Linked DNA regions of Cricetulus griseus. The protein of the gene in region 2 interacts with the protein of the main gene of each other region in a biochemical or structural test. Links are inferred from orthologs where the notes say so. Each region holds a gene or a part of one and is shown on either strand. Other genes may lie near its edges.

The links.
Region 1: the proteins of Smad2 (region 2) and Erbin form a complex in vitro, tested with the Homo sapiens proteins (2 studies listed by BioGRID). The link is inferred for Cricetulus griseus from reciprocal best matches to the Homo sapiens genes SMAD2 and ERBIN.
Region 3: the proteins of Smad2 (region 2) and Smurf2 form a complex in vitro, tested with the Homo sapiens proteins (3 studies listed by BioGRID and IntAct, with this or other methods). The link is inferred for Cricetulus griseus from reciprocal best matches to the Homo sapiens genes SMAD2 and SMURF2.
Region 4: the proteins of Smad2 (region 2) and Ski form a complex in vitro, tested with the Homo sapiens proteins (4 studies listed by BioGRID). The link is inferred for Cricetulus griseus from reciprocal best matches to the Homo sapiens genes SMAD2 and SKI.
Region 5: the proteins of Smad2 (region 2) and Zfyve9 are reported together in a solved structure, tested with the Homo sapiens proteins (2 studies listed by BioGRID and IntAct, with this or other methods). The link is inferred for Cricetulus griseus from reciprocal best matches to the Homo sapiens genes SMAD2 and ZFYVE9.

Annotation. Positions count from the first base shown.
Region 1 is NC_048595.1:322,138,891-322,143,182, forward strand, and holds the start of Erbin (erbin), read right to left. Parts: upstream 2,801-4,292; coding exon 2,612-2,800; intron 541-2,611; coding exon 423-540; intron 1-422. UniProt on the Homo sapiens protein: Acts as an adapter for the receptor ERBB2, in epithelia. By binding the unphosphorylated 'Tyr-1248' of receptor ERBB2, it may contribute to stabilize this unphosphorylated state.
Region 2 is NC_048595.1:163,540,383-163,543,897, forward strand, and holds part of Smad2 (mothers against decapentaplegic homolog 2), read right to left. Parts: intron 2,071-3,515; coding exon 1,947-2,070; 3' UTR 1-1,946. UniProt on the Homo sapiens protein: Receptor-regulated SMAD (R-SMAD) that is an intracellular signal transducer and transcriptional modulator activated by TGF-beta (transforming growth factor) and activin type 1 receptor kinases.
Region 3 is NC_048600.1:119,795,850-119,799,364, reverse strand, and holds part of Smurf2 (E3 ubiquitin-protein ligase SMURF2), read left to right. Parts: intron 1-1,237; coding exon 1,238-1,440; intron 1,441-3,515. UniProt on the Homo sapiens protein: E3 ubiquitin-protein ligase which accepts ubiquitin from an E2 ubiquitin-conjugating enzyme in the form of a thioester and then directly transfers the ubiquitin to targeted substrates.
Region 4 is NC_048595.1:1,092,119-1,096,393, reverse strand, and holds the start of Ski (ski oncogene), read right to left. Parts: upstream 2,813-4,275; 5' UTR 2,615-2,812; coding exon 1,646-2,614; intron 1-1,645. UniProt on the Homo sapiens protein: May play a role in terminal differentiation of skeletal muscle cells but not in the determination of cells to the myogenic lineage. Functions as a repressor of TGF-beta signaling.
Region 5 is NC_048595.1:41,182,538-41,186,052, reverse strand, and holds part of Zfyve9 (zinc finger FYVE domain-containing protein 9), read right to left. Parts: intron 2,673-3,515; coding exon 2,567-2,672; intron 1-2,566. UniProt on the Homo sapiens protein: Early endosomal protein that functions to recruit SMAD2/SMAD3 to intracellular membranes and to the TGF-beta receptor.

The DNA.
Region 1 (4,292 bases), about 160 Mb from region 2:
ACATCTCGTGATCTCCAACAGTGGACATTAAAAGGGCAAGCTCACAGAAGCAGAAAGCAAACGACAGTTAGCAGACTCAAAGCAGGGTGAGGGAGTAGGATGATTAAGATGTTGATCAGAGTAAAAACTTAGAGGAATACATCTAAGTGGCCTATTATACAACATGGACTATAGTAATATATTTAAAATCTACTTATTTTCCAGCTGTTTTGAGGTATCACAGATCTTATAACTATAAAGAATTCTAAGCCAAGAATATGACACCATATTTTATTGCTTTTGGCATAAAACAGGTTATAAAAATTTTAAATGTATATTTATATAAAATAGATCCTAGATGAGGCTAATATACTTTTAAACATTTGAAAAACAGAAATATTAACAATGAAATATCTGAAAGGACAAGAATCTGGAGGACTTACCATTTTTGCTGACATCCAGTTCCCTGAGATTAATGAGATTTGCAATGGATGCTGGTAATGTTGTTAAATCATTGTCAGGCAAACTTAGTTTATGTAGAGACTGACAGTTAAAAAGTTGCTAGGGAAAAAGGAAAGGATTTTGATTATCTTTTACATTTCTTTGGGTATCCTGTGAAATATTTTTTATACAGTAAATATCCATATTAAAGCTAACTGTGTTAGTCCTACATTAACACTAGGAAAAGCCTCACATTGTTCTCACTATGTTATTATGGATCTGAATAAATTTGAATCACTTAGACTGATTTATACTTTTAACCTGCACCCACTGAGAACCAATATATAAAACATTTTTGGCTATATTCTCTGTTGAAGCTGTCAAAGAGTAAGCAGCTATTATACCACATTGTAAGTTCTGGAGCTTGTCTTTCAATCAAGCTTATTTCAAAAAGGAAGCTATACTGAAGAACATCCCGTGAAAAATGACGAAGTGCTAGGTCTGGGGTAGGTACATGTCAGCATTTCTCTTGTATATATGCCTCTAGGCTGAGATCCTAATTCGTGACTAACCTAGGATCTGTCAGAGAACTAGCCATGGATAGTAATGGGTTTGTTGGGAGTACACAGTAATGATGAACAGTAAATTATAAATGATACTACAATCACACATAAGTGTGATTCACAATTCACCTTTAACATTTTTCCACAGCTGTTAAAGACTTCGCCACAAAATTATCAAGAATAAACTGGGCTTAGTGGCTCAAGCCTATAATCCCCAGATCTGGGAAGCTGAGGCAGTAGGATTGCAGTGAAGTTTGAAGCTATCCTAGACTACAAAGTGAGATTCTGTCTCAAAATATTCTAAAAATTAATTACCTAGCATAGCATTGACTTTCAAATGGTTTTAATATTGGTCATCACAATTAAAAGCCTTTGTATACTGTCATCCAGGATGTTCACAAACATACAAATAATCTAAAACAACTACTTCATGAAACAAGGTCTATATACAACATTGTTTATTTTCTGTTACATTACAGTTAGGGTTGCTGGATTAAATATAGGATACCCAATTAAATTTGAATTTTAAATAAATAATTTTAGTATAAGTATATCCTACATACTGCATATTTGCACTATTTATTTCTTATTCATCAGAAATTCTTATTTAACTAAGTCACCTGTAATTTTATTTTCCAAATCTCAGTCCAAATTACAGTTTATTTTTCAGAATTCTGATAACACATATTGTTTGGTGGCTGCAAGTGGCTGGTTTTGAAACAAGGTCTCACTACACATATGACCCAGGCCAAGGCAGAACTCATTGTGTAGCTCAAACTGGCCTTCAACTAAAGATCTTCCTCCCTAAAGCACCACCATGCCCAGCTCTAACCAGTTTTTTAAGCCACTTAATTTCAAGTCTCCATTTACAGCTTCAAAGGGCATTGTGGTATGCACCTTTAACCACAGGCCTTGGAAGGCAAGGGCAGGCAGATCTCAGAGTTGAGGTCAGTCTAGTCTACAAGGTGACACCCTGTCTTCAAACAAACAAACAAACAAACATAGCCATTCAGATGGCTATAACCCTAATAAACAATTTAAAGCTACTGCAGCTTTTTTTTATAAAACATGAAAACAAATACAGGTAATAAAAGGAAAGTAAGTGCATACTAAAAAAATTTAGTACAGTGGTAATCTGAGAAAAAAAAAACAACAAAACACAGCAATCTTTCCCCTCCAGTTGTTATTACATTTCAGAGATGCATGTTCTCCAAATCAATTCCAGACAAAATGGAGGGAAGCAGGGTTCCACCTCTAAAATTTATAGAACCATAGAAGCATGATGTGGTAGTTGAAATTCTACAATTAGCCCCAATTATAATGCTGCATATAGAGGGCTTAGACAGTGAAATTTCAGTTTTTTGACTAAATCTAATGGCTCCAGAAGTTGAATAGATATGTTATCTATTTTGATGGTTATAAAATGCTTCAAGTAAAAATGAAATTTTAAGTTATTCACACAAGTACTTAAATAACTCAAACAGAGGCTTAAAAATCTTTATCATTTTGAATTGTGCTTATAGTAAGATGAAGCCAGTGAATGGAAACACTTGTGTACAACAATATTAAGAATGTAAACATCTATGAACAGAAATTATCTAATGTAATTCTTGACAGTATTAATGTACCTTGGGAAGCTCTTCAATCTGATTAGCATCTAAATAGAGCTCCTCTAAAGTTTTTTCAAAGGTGAAAATCTCTTTGGGAACTTGTTCCAAGCTGCAATGAGAATAATCTAGAGTAGTGACCGTTTCCTCTTCTCCTCGTAGACAGCGACATGGCACCAACCGCACAAACAAACTTCGTTTTGTAGTCATTTTTTAAAAGCTGCAGCATATAGATAAAAACAAATCAAACTGTATACAATACAACAAACAACTTTTCCAACAAATTACCATCCGTATAGCACAACTAAATATCCACAGGCAAAATACCTCCTCACCACCACACACACCCAATGGAGCATATTTAAGATTGCTTTAATATCTACACTTATATATCTACTGGACTTTATATCAAACTCAAGACCTCCAGTACTTTACAAAACAATCCAAGATGTAACCATTCATGTTTTTCACAGGTCTTAACCATCAACCACCATTTAACTTTCCTGTGTGGTGGTTTGAAAAAAAAAAAAATGGCCCCCAAAGGGGTGATATTACTAGGAGGTGTGGCCTTACTGGAAGATGTGTGTCACTGTGGGGTGGGCTTTGAGGTCTCTTTTGCTCAAGCATCCCTCAGCATGACTGCCATTGACTTCCTGTTGCCTACAAGACGTAGCACTCTCAGTTCCAGCACCATGTCTGCCAGCACACTGCCATGCTCCCCATCATAATCACCATGGCCTGAACCTCTGAAACTGTAATTGAGCCACTCAAATGTTTTCTTTATAGCGTTGCCATGGTCATAAGATGTCTCTTCACAGCAATGAAAACCCAAACTATGATACTATAATTCTCCTACATGGAAACTCCCATCTACTTCAAGTATAATTTTGTGTCAATCAAATACTAGCCTAGTTTTTGAAAGACTTGAAGATTCTAAATTGTTGAAGATCACATGTGAGTCAACTCATTTAAAATACAGTCTTTCAGTTAACCAAGAGAAAAGGCTAGTTTTGAATTAATAAAAATTCTCAAGGCCAATTTTATTAAGAACTTGTGTATAAATTCCAAGTAGGCTAACATTAAACTAACATAGTAATAATTTAGTAAAATGAGGATGACTGCCAATGGGTAAGTAAACCTTTGTACATAAATATAATTCTTGCCTTAGGCAAGGAAACAAGCACCAAGATCTCAGGCCCAACATGTAAGAAAGTACAAAAAAAAACAAAAAGATAAGTACCTTAAATATTTTAATTGCTAAAAAAATATCTATTAAATAAAACATCAATGTTTAAATAAAGACATAATCAGTGTTTTTTTTTTGTTTTTGTTTTTGTTTTTTTCCTTGACTCAGGATCCAATATGGCTCAGCAAGGCACTACACTAATAGTTCTACTTCCCACTTATTCCCACTTATGGTACTTAAATGTCTGACCATAGACAGGGTTAAGTACTCCCCTTACACTCATTCTCACACTCTGACTTTACTGAATCACTAGGCACCATACTGAAATTCTTTAGATAAAGTATGTAATTATTTTCTTTGTCTTCATTACAATTTTCCAGGGAATGTCCTATTGTTTCCATAGAGAAGCAGAGTTTCTTAACTAGGAAACAGCCAGAAATTAGAGAAAGATCTTTAACACAGTAGTGTTTCTTTTTTTAGAACTCAGACTTGTAAAATAGACTTTTGTAAAAGCAT
Region 2 (3,515 bases):
CCTTTGGGTTTGATGCTGTCCCAGCAGTGCTGATCTCCTTCAGCTCTTCGAATGCTCCATGGCTCGCTCCTTCTAGGTTAGGTGTTAGCTCAAGAATCGCTTTCCCAGATGCCTTCCCCCATGTTTTACCAGAAGCATCCTATCTGCCATTCTCTAGACAGTACCCTGTTTACCTCCCACAGACATTTAAGCACGGGTTAAATCAACGGCTATCTCAGCAAAGGCAGGAACTAGAGCTATCTTGTTCACCTTCACCCAAAGGTTAAGAAAGTTCATGGCACATTAACAGGTGAACAATAAATATTTGAATAAAAAATTACTATACCAAATTTACATGAACACATACATACGCACACAAATATAGGAAAATGGGAAATATCAAATACAAAACAACCAAATGTTGAAAAGCATCGAAAATGACACCTGTACATACATGTAAGTATGGTTTCAAAGAGTTAAGTACCAAAGGTATTTGTCTGCAAAAATATTCAAATTTACAAAAAGGGGATCAGGAAGTATTTTCCATTGTACGGAGTTGCAAACAAGAAGGGAGTCAAGACTGGACATGACTGCTGTGTGCTGCAGAACGGAGGACCGACAGAACAAGCTGGTATCCCCTTATTGCAGAGCAGAAAGGTCAGTGACCTACACACACCCAGGATTAGTCAAGAACAGCTCAGACTGCAGGGAACTGCAGGCTAAAAATCTTGATAAACAGCTTAGTTCCCAATCTTTAAAAATTTGAAATTAGGTAATACAACATTCCCTTTATAAATTACACACAATACACTTTAAAAAAACAGATGACCCCTATCTTCTGACCGTACCCCAGCGTCACTCTACGTATTTGCAGAAGCAAGTACTTTTGCCAAAGGTCCATTTTGTAATACAACCTGGTAGTTAAGTGCCATGAGGCAGAAGGTCAGCTGCCTTTACAGAAAGATCCTTTATTATTATACTGGCTTTGGAAGAAGGAAACACATACTGAGATGATTCCAGAATAGCCCTGAAAATAATCATACTGCCACCTGTTCATGTTTTGAGACAAAAGTTAATCAATAGACCAACAAGTTTCACAAAGTCTGTTATCATCTGTAGAAGTCTGGTTCTAAGACAAGACTTACACCCCACAAACCTTCACTGGACCCAGGATTAACTACCCCAGCAGCCATCAGTGCAGCTATTTACCACAATGACATCATGCTGTACTGTTATGTATCAGAAAAGAAATGGGATGAAGAGCCCGAAGTTTCCAGTAAGGTTTCCTTCTAATGCAATTCAGCAGGAAATAAACACACAAAGAAAGAATGACTGCTAAGATCCACTGGAAACATTAAGGTCAAGGATTTCCAAGCTAATCCACTTTTCTTCCCCCAAGTTTGTTTATTTTTGGTAAAAGGCAGAAAAATTAGTTTCTACAAGGAAAATCTGCTTCTAAATGATAATTTGAAAATCTTAATATATATATATATTATATATTAAAAAAGACACAAAAATAACGGCGAAGTGGGAATAACAGATTAGGTACTGTAATTTATAAAGGCTTGCCTAGACCAAGAAGCAGCACACACACCTCAGTTATGGAAACTAAGAATGGATACAGACAGCAGAGTACTGCAATACTGGGTCTTGATACATTACCTGTATACACAACTACTACTGTAATTAATAACCTTTGGGACTCTGTCTTATGCCCAACAAGACATCACTAAGTCTTTAAGTCTTCTCTTCCCACTTTGGGGAGGGCACTTCTAGACACTAATTTTCCCATCTAATATTCAAATATAGGAAACAGATTCCACAAGGTGCTTTAACTGATGAGACCTCAAGTGCTGTTTTCACTCTGGAATTTTTGGATAGCAAACAGTCCACGGGATCATACACAAATACTATGACAGAAGAGTTGTTACATGAAGTCTTTCCATAGACTCAAATGGTGATTGACTTTATGACATGCTTGAGCATCGCACTGAAGGGGATCCCATCTGAGTTAATACTTTGTCCAACCACTGCAGAGGGCCATTCAGATGAAGCTCAATCCAGCAAGGAGTACTTGTTACTGTCTGCCTCCTGTTTGAGAGAACATAAAAATCAATTAGGAAATTAAAAGGCTGTGTATAATAAAATCTATCTTAAGAATAATTATTAACTTTGTATATAGGATTATTAGCTTGAAAATGTTTTTTACTGCTGAAATGATATAAAGAGTTTTGTCCTTTTTCAGAGACTGTACTTACTTATGTGTCATATGCATATGTATGTGTACAGGTGCATGTAGATGCCTGAAGGGGGTTGGGAGGGGCAGTTTGGACTCAGTGCTTTTCTAGATTGTTCTTTACCTTGTTCCCTTGAGTAAGAGTCACTCACTGAACCTGAAGCCCTCTATGCTGGCTAGAATGGCTAACCAGTAAGTTCCTAGGCTCCATCTGTCCCCACCCCACCATCCCCCATCCCATGCTGAGGTTACAGGCACACACAGCCATGCTGGCTCTTATGAGTGCTGGAGATGAGTCTCAAGTCCTTATGCTTGCATAACAAGCACGTTAACCAACTGAGCTATCACCCTAGAATTTCATCTTTTCAAAAGATTTACAAAAATATTTTCTTTTGAAGTTAAATTTGTATACTCAGGGGATACCTATGAGAATTTAGGTACTACTATTAGTGAGACTGGCAGGAGAGACACAACCTAGGAAAGATTACCCTAAGGAAATTAACATATATGGTCACCCTGCTTTTACATGTATCAAATGAAGTAAAAAAAAAAAAAAAAACCTCAAATTTAAAGTTTGCTGACCCAAGCTGATCCTTACTACACAATGCTAAGACTCGGAACTGACTTTTCTCTAGACACCTAGACACATAATGAGCAACAACTTGCCAGCAACATCCCTTGGGCTTCTGGTTTAAGAAGCAAGATAAAAACCTTCTAGTGCTTCAACAAAGGGGCCAATGCTTATTCCCTGAATCACACAACATCCTCCTGTTGCTCTAGTCTTAGGCATTGGATTTAGTTCTATCTTATTTGCTATACAGTGTCAGTCAATACATTTACTTTTGCTTCTTCAACATGACATTCTTCAGTCACGATAAAAGGCTCCCCATCTTTAAACAATTCATGTCCATCAGCAATTAGGAGTGGATATTCAAGCGGCTGGAGATGGCCAAGCAACTAAAGAATTTGCACTGCTTTTTAGAGAAGTGAGTTCAGTGCCCAGCACCCACATCTGTCAACTCATAAATACAAGTAACCCTCTAGCTCACATCTGTAAATCCAACTAACTCCTGGATTCCACAGGCACTTGTACTCACACAAGCACAGACACATACATACACATAATAAAAAACATGGGGGAGGCACTATGTATATATAACTCACAATGAGACCAAAGGTGAGAGGGGTCACTTACTCAGCTGATCTCAACTGTCCAATCTTATTTTTATTCTACTTCTAATCAAACTGCTACTCTGCTATTAGAATTAGTTTCCTACACTGCCCTTTCCTATCTCCTGAA
Region 3 (3,515 bases), on a different chromosome or scaffold from region 2:
CCAGTATGTCAATCCTGGTTAAGTTGATTATCCCTTCATTTAATTGTTCCAATTTTAAATCATTCATTGTATAATCATACAGAGACCTGACTCTCCATTGTAATAGTGTTTTCCCTTTTTTTCCCCCCTCTCTTGAGGAAAAAATTAAATGCTAACACAGATATTGGGGTTAAAGCTGAAGATCAGAGAAGCAAAGCAGCCAGCCACTAAAGAGTTATCACCTCTACCAGTGCTCAGACCAAAAGAGCCACCTGTCCTCAGACTGCATCTCCAGACTGCATCTGTTTCCTTCAGACCTTAGATTGCACTGAGCTCCTGTTTCCTCCAGCATTTTTATTCCTCTCTAGTAATGGGATTGAAGGCATGGGATACCAAGTGCTGGGATCACCTTTGTGTGAGCTGTTTCTCTTTTAGACTGGATCAATTTCATGTAGATTCAGAGTGGCCTTGAATTAACAGAGATCTGTCTGCCCCTGTCTCCCAAGTGCTGGGATTAAAAGTGTATTGCACCACTGCCTGGCCTCTGTGGTTAACTAGTGTGGCTAACATTGCACTCTTCAGGCAAGCTTTTTTGTTAGATCCTAAATAAAATATCACCAGTCTGTGTTTTGAATGACAAAGAGCCATACCTAGGAAGAGGTACTGTTTTTAAGAACTAAAGGTCAGATGACTCGGGCAAATTCAAGGAGAAGAGGAACACCTGCTTGCCAAAAGCCATGTGAGAGGGAGAATAGTGGAAATCTGGTCTAGAGGCCAGCTGTATCCAAGTCCTCGCCCTTACTGACTCAGGAGCACATCTATAAGTATGTATGGAGTTTTCAGAAACTTAATTGCAACAGTACTTGAGTTTCTTTGGTCAATAAGAACTTTAGGCTTGCCGGGCGTTGGTGGCACACGCCTTTAATCCCAGCACTCGGGAGGCAGATGCAGGCGGATGTCTGTGAGTTCGAGACCAGCCTGGTCTACAAGAGCTAGTTCCAGGACAGTCTCCAAAGCCACAGAGAAACCCTGCCTCAAAAAACCAAAAAAAAAAAAAAAAAAAAAAAAAAAAAAAAAAAAGAAAGAAAAAAGAACTTTAGGCTTGCTCTTAATAAGGTTCTTAAAATCATTGTTTGCTTTATTCATCTCATTTCTTGTCTGATTTACTATATTATTGCTATAGTATATACGATATCTAGAAACTCTGTTTTTGATGTCTTAATTATTAACCTTTTTACCCCTTGTCACTTTTCAACAGACCAGCCTCAGAATATTCTAGTCCTGGCAGACCTCTTAGCTGCTTTGTGGATGAGAATACTCCAATTACTGGAACAAATGGTGCAACATGTGGACAGTCTTCAGACCCCAGACTAGCAGAGAGAAGAGTCAGGTCCCAGCGACATAGAAATTACATGAGCAGGACACACTTACACACGCCTCCAGATCTACCAGAAGGCTATGGTATGATAACAGCAAAGGGAAAATTTCAACTTGTTTTAAGAAAGTCAGAAAACTAACTTTTCTTTTTTGTTTTTTTCAAGGTTTCTCTGTGTAGCTCTGGCAATCCTGAAACTTGCTCTGTAGATCAGGCTGTCCTTGAACTCAGATCCACCTGCCTCTGCCTCCCAAATGCTGGGATTAAAGGTGTGTTCCACCACTGCCTGGCCAGAGATTATCTTGAAAAATTGTTATTGTTGCCGAGTATAGCCAGCTTAGTCTGCAAAGCAAGTTCCAGGTACGTCAAGGCTACACAAAGAAACTCTGTCTTTAAAAAAGAAAAATATTACTTTTGTTTTCAGGTAGGGTCTTCTATAGCTGAGGCTGACCTCAAACTCACAGTGTACCCAGACTGCCCTTGAATTCCTGATGTTCCTTGCACTCATACAACACACACTGGGATTATATGTTTGCTTTACCACACATTGTTTTAGAGTCAATATGGCCTGAGGATTTAGCTTAATGGTAATGTACTTGCTAGCATGCTCAAGGCCCTGGGAAGGCCCAGTGTTCATTTTGAGTGTATAGTGGGCACAGAAGACACATACTACACTGGACACAGAGACAAGAGAGTGAGAATTAACTAATCCAGGTTTTGGGATTCTGTGTGAAAATAAACGTAAATATAAAACTCCCAATTTTTATTAAAAAGTCTGTAATGGTTAGAAAACAGTTATAACCAACAGTTTTACCTTAGCTAGTTATTTATGAACCATAATAGCTCCTATGCTCATTTATAATAAAGTGTAGTAAATATTAACCACACAGTTATTGTAGGAAGCTTGTGGAATAAAATGAGACTACTTTTCAAGTAGACACTATATAAAGTTACAGCAATACTATTGTATAGGCTTATCTTAAACCTTTAGTGTGATTTTTGGGACAGATACTAACTTCCTTTCCAGTTTAACACTGTATGTTGGCTGATGGTGACACCTAATGACCAAAATTAGAAATTACGTTTTCTAAGTTATTTTATTTTTACTAGTAAATTAAAAAAAACTATTTGTAAATAAATGATTATAACTTTATTTTAAAATAAATTGTAGCCTCTTATTTTGAAGAAAAACAAAAAACAAAAAAACTTGCTGTGTCCCGTAAGTTGGCATACTATGAAGTAAGCAATTCCAGAATGGGTAACAGACTTGTTTTTGCCGATCACATTATTTAACCTCTGAGAACCTACATTTTACCTCCTGTAAAGTGAGAGGAATAATAGTAACAATGGTGTAGGTTTGTTGCAAGAAATAAATGATCTTAATCTCTAGGGAATCATCTGACCATGTCTGGCATAAAAAGCAGGTTAGGAAAACATTTTAGAGATAATTCCCTTGGAGGGTCACTCAGGTTGTTGGGAATGAAGGTGAAATGTATGTATTTATGTCTGTCTGTATGTGTATATGTATATGTGTGTGTGTGTGTGTGTGTGTGTGTGTGTGTGTGTGTGTGTGTGTGTATATATACATATATATATATATATATATATATATATATATATTTGTTTATTATGTATACAGTGTTGTGTTCACAAACCAAAAGAGGGTATTAGATCTCATTATAGATGGTTGTGAGCCACCATGTGGGTTGCTGGAAATTGAACTCAGGACCTCTGGAAGAGCAGTCAATGCTCTTAACCTCTGAGCCATCTCTCTAGCCCTGGCTAATGATTTTTTTTTTTTACTATGGCAATTTTATACCCAAATTTGTCAGTTCTCTTTTCTGAACAGAAATATATCAAGGTTTTTACTGGGTTGCAAGCATGGTGCCACACACTTTCAATCTCAGAATGCAGGAAGCAGAGCAGAGGCAATGAGACAACTCCAAGACTAGCCTGGGCTACCTGTCAAAACTCCAGGCCATCTAAGGTATAAAATAGAAACCCTAATGTAAACAAAGCACATTACATAGTCATAAAACTGAATTAAAAAACAGTGTACCCGGGCGGTTAAGAGCAGGGTTAAGAGCACTGGTTGCTCTTCCAGAGAATCTAGGTTCAATTCCCAGCACCCACATGGCAGCTTACAACTGTCTGCAACTCC
Region 4 (4,275 bases), about 160 Mb from region 2:
GGAAACGACCCAGGCACATGACCATGGCTCAGTGCACTATCCTGTCTTCTAACCCCATAGTGCTGGCACGAGCATCTGAGCCACCTCCTCTGAGCCCAAAGACCCCACACCAGAATCACCAAGCTTGTAAACAGAGAAGGCAGAAGTCTACTCCATTCAATAGTGGCCGGGACAAAGGGACCATGGCAGTCCCCTAAACCTGGATAGAAAGACCACAAACACACATGACCCAAAGCAGACAAACACAAACACAGACACACCCAACTCAGACAAGACTCCTTGCCTGCTCCCAAGATAAGAGGTGTGAATGCTTCCCAGTGGCTCATCCTCACTAGTCCCACATCTCTACAGTAGCCCCAGCAAGTCCACCAGTCGCTATATTCAAATGACTACCTCAGGCTACATTAGCTGACAAGGGTGCAGACAGCCCAGATAGGCCTCCACTGGTAGGACCCACATCAGCCTGCCTACTGCCAAGTCCACTTGAAAAGACCCGCCTGCAACCGCCTGCCATCATGCACTGCCCTAGCTGGGGCAAAAGTGCCATAGGACACACAGTATGTGCACACTCTCTGCAGCCCCCAAAGAATTAGGCAACGGTCCTTCTTCAGAGCCCCTTCCCCCCACGATTCTGACACTCTGCTGGAGGGGCGCCCAGAGAAAACCGGGCTGCAGCATCTATTCACAGATTTAGAAAAAAAAAAAAAAGTTTGATGCAATAGCTGAATTAATTAGGTCTCCCAAGAATAGCTGAGCCAATGCAGCATTCTGTGTGTGCAATTTAATAAGCAGGGATATTTAAAAGTTACAGATACTTAGGATGCATATGCAAAGAAACTTCCTCTGGACCCCAGTGAAAGGTTTTGGTACTAAGTGGCCAGGGTCATGCCAAGAAGATCCCACAAAGCCCGTGACGCACACACGGCACAGCCTAGGCAGGCAGGCCTCCACACCAAGTGCAAGAGCAACAGAAGGAAATGGGTGAGTCTAAAGAAACTGCATACTATCAGCAACTCTGAGTCAGAGAAGCAAGACTCTGCTACCATTGACCAGGCCAAGTGGTCCTCAAGGTGCACCAACAGGAGACTCTAGGGGCTGCAAGTGCCAAGTCTCTGCCAGGACAACTAGCTAGCTTCATTTTAGTGTCTTTGCCCCATGATTTAAACACAAAACAAGAGAGCCAGTAAACATACAAGGCGTATCAGCTGGAAACCACAAGAAGACATCCCTGTCATCAGAAAAAAAGGGGGCAAACTTCATTCTCATCTGTCAAGATCCCATGGAGATCTGGGCCATAAAGTCATAGCCTGGGTTCTTTCTCTTCAGGAAGTCCAAGCTCCCAGAGCTTGAGGCAGCCTTTCTCAGACCTTCAGAGCGTAGCCTATGTGGTCAAGGGCTATGTGTCCTGAGAGGGCTTTTTTCCATTCACTCTACAGTGCTCAGACAGCACCAAGGCGGCCTTATGGCCTTACCCACAGGAGACTAACTAGGCCCCTAATTTCCTGAAATCAAAACAACCCAAAGCCAAATAAGGTCGAACCAGGTGCCCCAACATTTAGAAGCCAGAGTGCCCAGCCCAAGAGGACCACCGCCTCCCCTCCTTGGACAAATGGCTTGCCAACCCCCAAGACCTGGAGACACTTACCCGGGGCACCCTCCGCTTGTACTTGTTGGCATAGTCGAACTTCTCCTTCACGTCGTCCAGGCAGCGGCCAAGGCGGGCCTGCTCCTCCTTGCCTGTGTAGTCCTGGCTCAGCAGGATGTAGGCCCGCCAGTTGGCTGAGTCGAAGCCCCAGTGGCAGGTCCGGTTCTCCAGGGCCTTGTGCGAGTGTACCACGAACTTGTGCGGCGGGTACATGAGGCGGCAGTCGAGGCACTGGATGCAGGCGGCGCTAGGACTGCTGTACAGCTCGGGCACCAGCAGCCCCTTGCACTTGCCGAAGCACTCGTGGTACACGCGGACGCTGCGCTCGCTGAGCTCCAGGCCCAGCGCCAGGCTGGCCGCCAGCTCCTTCTTGCAAGGCGGCGGGTAGGCGCCGCCGTAGAGCAGCGCGTTACACAGGCGCTCGGCGTCCGTCTTGGTGATGAGCCCGCACGAGGGCGCGGAGAAGGGCAGGATGCCCATGACTTTGAGGATCTCCAGCTGGTCGGCGGTGCAGCGCGAGCAGTAGATGTGCAGCTCATCGCACACCGAGTTGATCTGCTGCAGTGAGAAGTCGCGCAGCACCGAGTTGAGGATCTGCGGCAAGCACAGACGCTTCTCGCCTCCCACTACGAAACAAGAGATGGTCTCCCCTTCCAGCACGGTCTCACAGCGCTCGGTGGAGCGATCCGACGGCATGAAGAAGGGCCCGGGCAGTACGGGCGGCGGCGGCTGGATGGCAGGCAGGTGCAGCACGGGCGGCGGCTCCGCGGCAGTGGGCACCGGCGCCGGCACCGTGGCCGCGCCCGCCTCCTTGGCGCTCTCCTTCTTGTAGGCCTCCTGCGCCCAGCGCGCCGAGAAAGCGGCCGGGCCGCCCAGCGAGCTCATGGAGCTCAGGTGGAACTGCTCCAACGTCTTCTGCAACCCCGGGTGCGGCTGGAAGCCGCCCCGGCCGGCCGCCGCCGCTTCCATGGTGCGATCGGGCTCCCCGGGCCGCTCCCGTGCGCCCGGGCCCCCACGGCCTCGCCGCCGCCCCGCGCACCCCGCCGCCGACCGCGACCGCGGCCCCGACGCCCCCCGTCGCCGGCTCACGGCCGATCACGGCCCCGGCCTCGGCCTCGCCCGGGGCGCGCGAAGGCGAAGGCGGGCGGGCGAAGGGGTCCCGCCGCTGGAGCCCGCCGCCACCCGGGCCCGGCGCCACATCACGCGCCCCGCGCCGCGCCGCCGCCGCCGCCGCCCCGGCCCCCCGCGCGCCCCCCGCGGCTCTAGGCGCGGCATGCCCCGGCGCGCGCCGCCAACGCCAACGCCAACGCTCGCGGCCCGGGCGCTCGCGGGGCGCGCGCGGCAGGTGCCGGCCGCGAGGCGCGAATCGCCGCGGCGGCCGAGCCGAGGGGCCGGGGAGAGCGGGGGCGCGGGCGCGGGGCCCGCCGGGCCGTCCTCGCGCGGCGCGGCCGCGCTGCCCCGCTCCTCCCACCGCGCGGCGCCCTCGGGCTCGTCCCGCGGTGCTGGCCGGCCGCGTCGCGCCCGCCGCTGGCCCCCGCCGCCTGCCCGCCCGCGCGGCCGCCCGGCTCCCGGCCGCCCGCGCCCGCGCGCGCCGGCCCCGGGGCGGCGGAGGCGCTCTAGCCCGCGGCTCAGAGCGCGGCGGCGGCGCGGGGCTCGGCGCGCTCGGCGCACATCTTTCGGGCGGCTCGCTCCGGCTCGGACTGAGCGCCGGGAGCTGAGCTCACGCCGCCGCGCGCCCCGCCCCGTACCCCCGCCCCGCCCGCGCCGGCCCCGCCTCCCGCGTTGTTTGTTGCTGTGCGTCCGCCTCAGCCGGAGTGAGGGCCAGGAATGTGACCAGCTTCGGGCCGGCTCTTCCAAGAACGCGCGCTCCCCCTCCCGGGCTCGGTGGCGCTCGGCTACGCCCGGCCCGTACTCGGCCAAGCTCGGCTCCGTCCGCCCACAGTTCGACTCCGCTCGGGTCCCCCGGGCCGGAGCTCGGCCCCGCTCGGCCCCGCTCGGCCCCGCTCGGCCCCACTCGGCCCTACTCGGTCCCGCTCGGCCCCGCCTTGTGAAGGCCGCTGGAGGCGGCTGCAGCGAGGCGCCTGGGGCCCCCCTTCCGGCCGAGGCCGCTTCCTGCGCGGCTGGGAAGTCTCCGGTCCTGCTGACACCACGGTCTTGGGGCCCCGAAACCCACAAGGCCCCTGCCACAACCGCAGACCAGCTGAGTGGCGGTCCGCAGTAGATCTGCGCCGCTGCCTCCTTAGGTCCCGGGGTCCCCATTCTACGGAGATAACTGGGAAATAGCCTCCACTCCCCATACTGCTGGGCGTCGTTCTCTACAGGACCGGGACGCCACGCGACACCCCAGAGTTTGCACTCATAAAAAGGACCCCAGGTGCCCCCTCATGACAAGGATGCCACAAAACATTGGGGTCTGGATACAAGAGCGTCTCAAAGCACCCTAGCGTCTCCACACGACCGAAGTGCCTGGCCCCCTATGATAAGGACACCACAGCATGCATTCCAGGTCCCTGCATAAGGACACCACGAAATACTCAGGACAGGCTGTCCTTATGATGAGAAGATACGAGAGAGAGAAAAAAAAAAAAAATCCAGGTGCCCATACAACCGGAACCTCTCAAAGAATCACC
Region 5 (3,515 bases), about 120 Mb from region 2:
TTTTTCTTTATAAAGATTTTAAAATTTATTATGTACACAACATTCTGCTTCCATGTATATCTGCACACCAGAAGTGGGCACCAGATCTCATAACTGATGGTTGTGAGCCACCATGTGGTAGCTGGGAATTGAACTCAGGACCTCTGGAAAAGCAGTCAGTGCTCTTAACCTCTGAGCCATCTCTCAGCCCCCTTCCCCCCCCACCCCCCCTCCCCCTCCTCCTCCTTCTTAATAGGTTTTTTGAATCAGGGTTTCTATGTGTAACAGCTCTTGCTGTCCTGGAACTCACTCTGTATATCAGGCTGGCCTCGAATTCAGAGATCTGCCTGCCTCTACTTCTGCCTCTGCCTCCCAAGTGCTGGGATTCAAAGTGTGTACCACCATTGCCCGGTTACCAGGCTAATTTCTTATTAACTCAAGATAGCCTCCTGGCTGAGTTTCCAAGTCATTGTGACTACAGGGGTCATACTGCCGTGCCAGTTTTCACGGAACTTAAAGCTTTCTGGGTTTGGGATCTAGCTCAGTTGGTGAAGTTCTTGCCTCATACGATGATGAACTGAGCTTGACTCCCCCAGAACCCATATAAAAATGCTGGTGTGGTGGTGTGCTCCCAAAATCCCAGTACTCGGGAGGGGGAGACAGGAGGATACCTGGGGCTCACTGTCCAACCTAATTGGTGACCTCTAGGCCAACAAAAGACTCTTTCAAAGGAGAGAGATGATGTTCCTGATGGTGACACCGAGGTTGTACATACATGTACAGGTACACGTGACATGGTATGTCTGTGTAGGTCAGAGGACAACTTTGTGGAGTCAGTTCTCTCCTTTATCTTTTTTTTTTTAAAAAAAGATTTATGTATTTATTATGTACAGTTTTCTGTCTGCATGTATGCCTGCAGGCCAGAAGATGGCACCATTACAGATGGTTGTGAGCCACCATGTGGTTCCTGGGAATTGAACTCAGGACCTCTGGAAGAACAGCCAGGGCTCTTAACCTCTGCGCCAACTCTCCAGCCCTCCTTCCATCTTTTCATGCATTTTGGAAATCAAACTCAGGATTGTCAGGCTCTATGACAAGGGCTTTCAACCACGGAGCCATCTCACAGCTCACAGCTCACAGATTGAGTTCTGCTTTTCAAAGGACCTACTTTCCTTCCCTCCTCTCTCTCCATCCTTTCCTGTCTGTGTAGTCCTGGCTGGCCTGGAACACACTGGGGAGAGGTTAGGCTGGCCTTGGACTGGCAGCAATCCTCATGTTCATCCTGAGTACTGGGATTGCAAGCATTCACCACTACACCTGGCTTTCAACAGATTCCATAATGGCTACTTGGCCTCTCCCTCACTCAGCAGCCATTAACTGCCTATAGCCCTTCATCTAGAGTGGAGCCTTGTGACACTCCCCAGTCCACTTTGTCATGTCAACTCCTGTTGTCATCACGAGGGTCTTGCTTAGGCGACCATATTGTTGAGCTTCCCATCACACAGAGATGGCACTACCTCACAGCAGATGTGCTGGTCCCCTGACTCTGACCATCTTTTTGCCACTCTCATGAGGTTACTCCAAGCCTATGGATAGGGGTTGTGTAGGACTTTTAAAAAAATTAATTGATGTAGGATGTTGGTAGCCCAGGCTGGCCTTAAATTTGTGATCTCCCTGCCTCAGCCTCCCAAGTACTGGGATTGCAAGTGTGTGGCCACACCTGGCTAGCTGCTTAAGAGCTGGCTAGATCTGGCTTTCAACCAGGAACTTACCATTACTTGTTTCTTTTGTAATTTTTTTTAATTTACTTATTTTTATTGCATATACAGTGTTCTGTCTGCATATTTGCCTACACACCAGAAGAGGGCACCAGATCTTATGATAGATGGTTGTGAGCCACCATGTGGTTGCTGGGAATTGAACTCGGGATCTCTGGAAGAGCAGCCAGTGCTCTTAACCTCTGAGCCATCTCTCCAGCCCTCCTTTGTAATTTTGACAAATCTTACTGGGAATTGTTTTTTTTTTTTTTCAAATATTTATTTATTATTATAGTGTTCTGTCTGTATGTATCCCCGTGGATCAGAAGAGGGCACCAGATCTCATTACAGCTGGCTGTGAGCCATTATGTGATTGCTGGGTATTGAACTCAGGACCTCTGGAAGGCCAGCTAGTGTTCTTAATCACTGGGACATCTCCAGCCCAACTGTTGGTCTTTTAAAGACCATGTTATTCAGTGGTCTTTGAGGGCAGTATGACATACTCAGCTTTCTGAAGGATACAGCCCAGAAGGTGACCACCAGAGACAGCCTTCTTGCCTTCCAAAGCAGAAGACACATCAGAGTGTAGCAGGCTGTACTTTTGGACTTTCTTTCCCAGTGAACTAAGATAGATTCAAGGGAATTAAATATAGTAGATAAATGAAAAGGTATTTTTTCCTCAGAGAAGCTTTTTTCTTAGAAAAAGTTTACTTTTTTTTTTTTTTTAATATGTATTAGTCACACAAGTACCATGCAGAGTGTGAGGAAGTCAGAGGTCAATATGGGAGCCGATTGAAAGCAGGGCAAGTGCACCAATATTCACTTCTTACCTCTGTCCATCTGATGACTTTTCCATTTGCTTTATACTCAGATCCGTGGAATATCTTCACATTTGTTATAGATTCCATGGACTTGCCATCTATAGGACTCACCACACTACAACAGAGGACAGGGAAGGAGGTATCTTGTCACATTTTACTACCAAATACCAAACACGCCTTGCTGAAGACATCTGCAGCATACATATCATGTCAAGATGCAGACTGCTCATGGGAAGGGGTATGCACTGAAACAATTCAAGCACAAACCAAAATGTAGACACTTTGCAAGGAGCCAGTTTTCAGAGTTTACTGTAGTATAAACAGGCTCTTGACTCATCCTGCTCTTTCCCTAGCATTTCTTTACCAAATAAATGGCTACTCACCCAACCCGGTTCACACTCTACTCCTGACTCCTAACATTCACCATGCTCCTCTTTGCTCATCTGCTTGAGAAAGGCAGTTCTGAAGGGGAAGGGCCTGACATGATATCCCTGGATGCTGTAGTTCAGGTACCAACCACTGCTTGGAATTTAGAGAGTTTAATGAAGTTTTTAAAAACTGGGGATTTGGCTCAGTGATAAGAGAGCTTGCTCGCTTTGATTCCATTGATCCACATGTCTGTTTTTATGCCAATACCAAGCTGGTTTTATTGCTGTAGCTCTACAGTAGAGCTTGATGTCACGGATGGTGATTCCTCCAGAAATTCCCTTATTGTACAGGGTTGTTTTGGCTATCCTGGGATTTTTTGTTTTTCCATATGAAGTTGAGAATTGTTCTTTCCAGGTCTATGAAGAATTGTGTTGGGGTTTTGATGGGGATTGCATTGAATCTGTAGATTGCTTTTGGCAAGATTGCCACTTTTACTATGTTGATCCTACCTATCCAAGAGCATGGGAGATCTTTCCATTTTGCTCAACTATATTCATAGCAGTATTATTTGTAATAACCAGAACCTGGA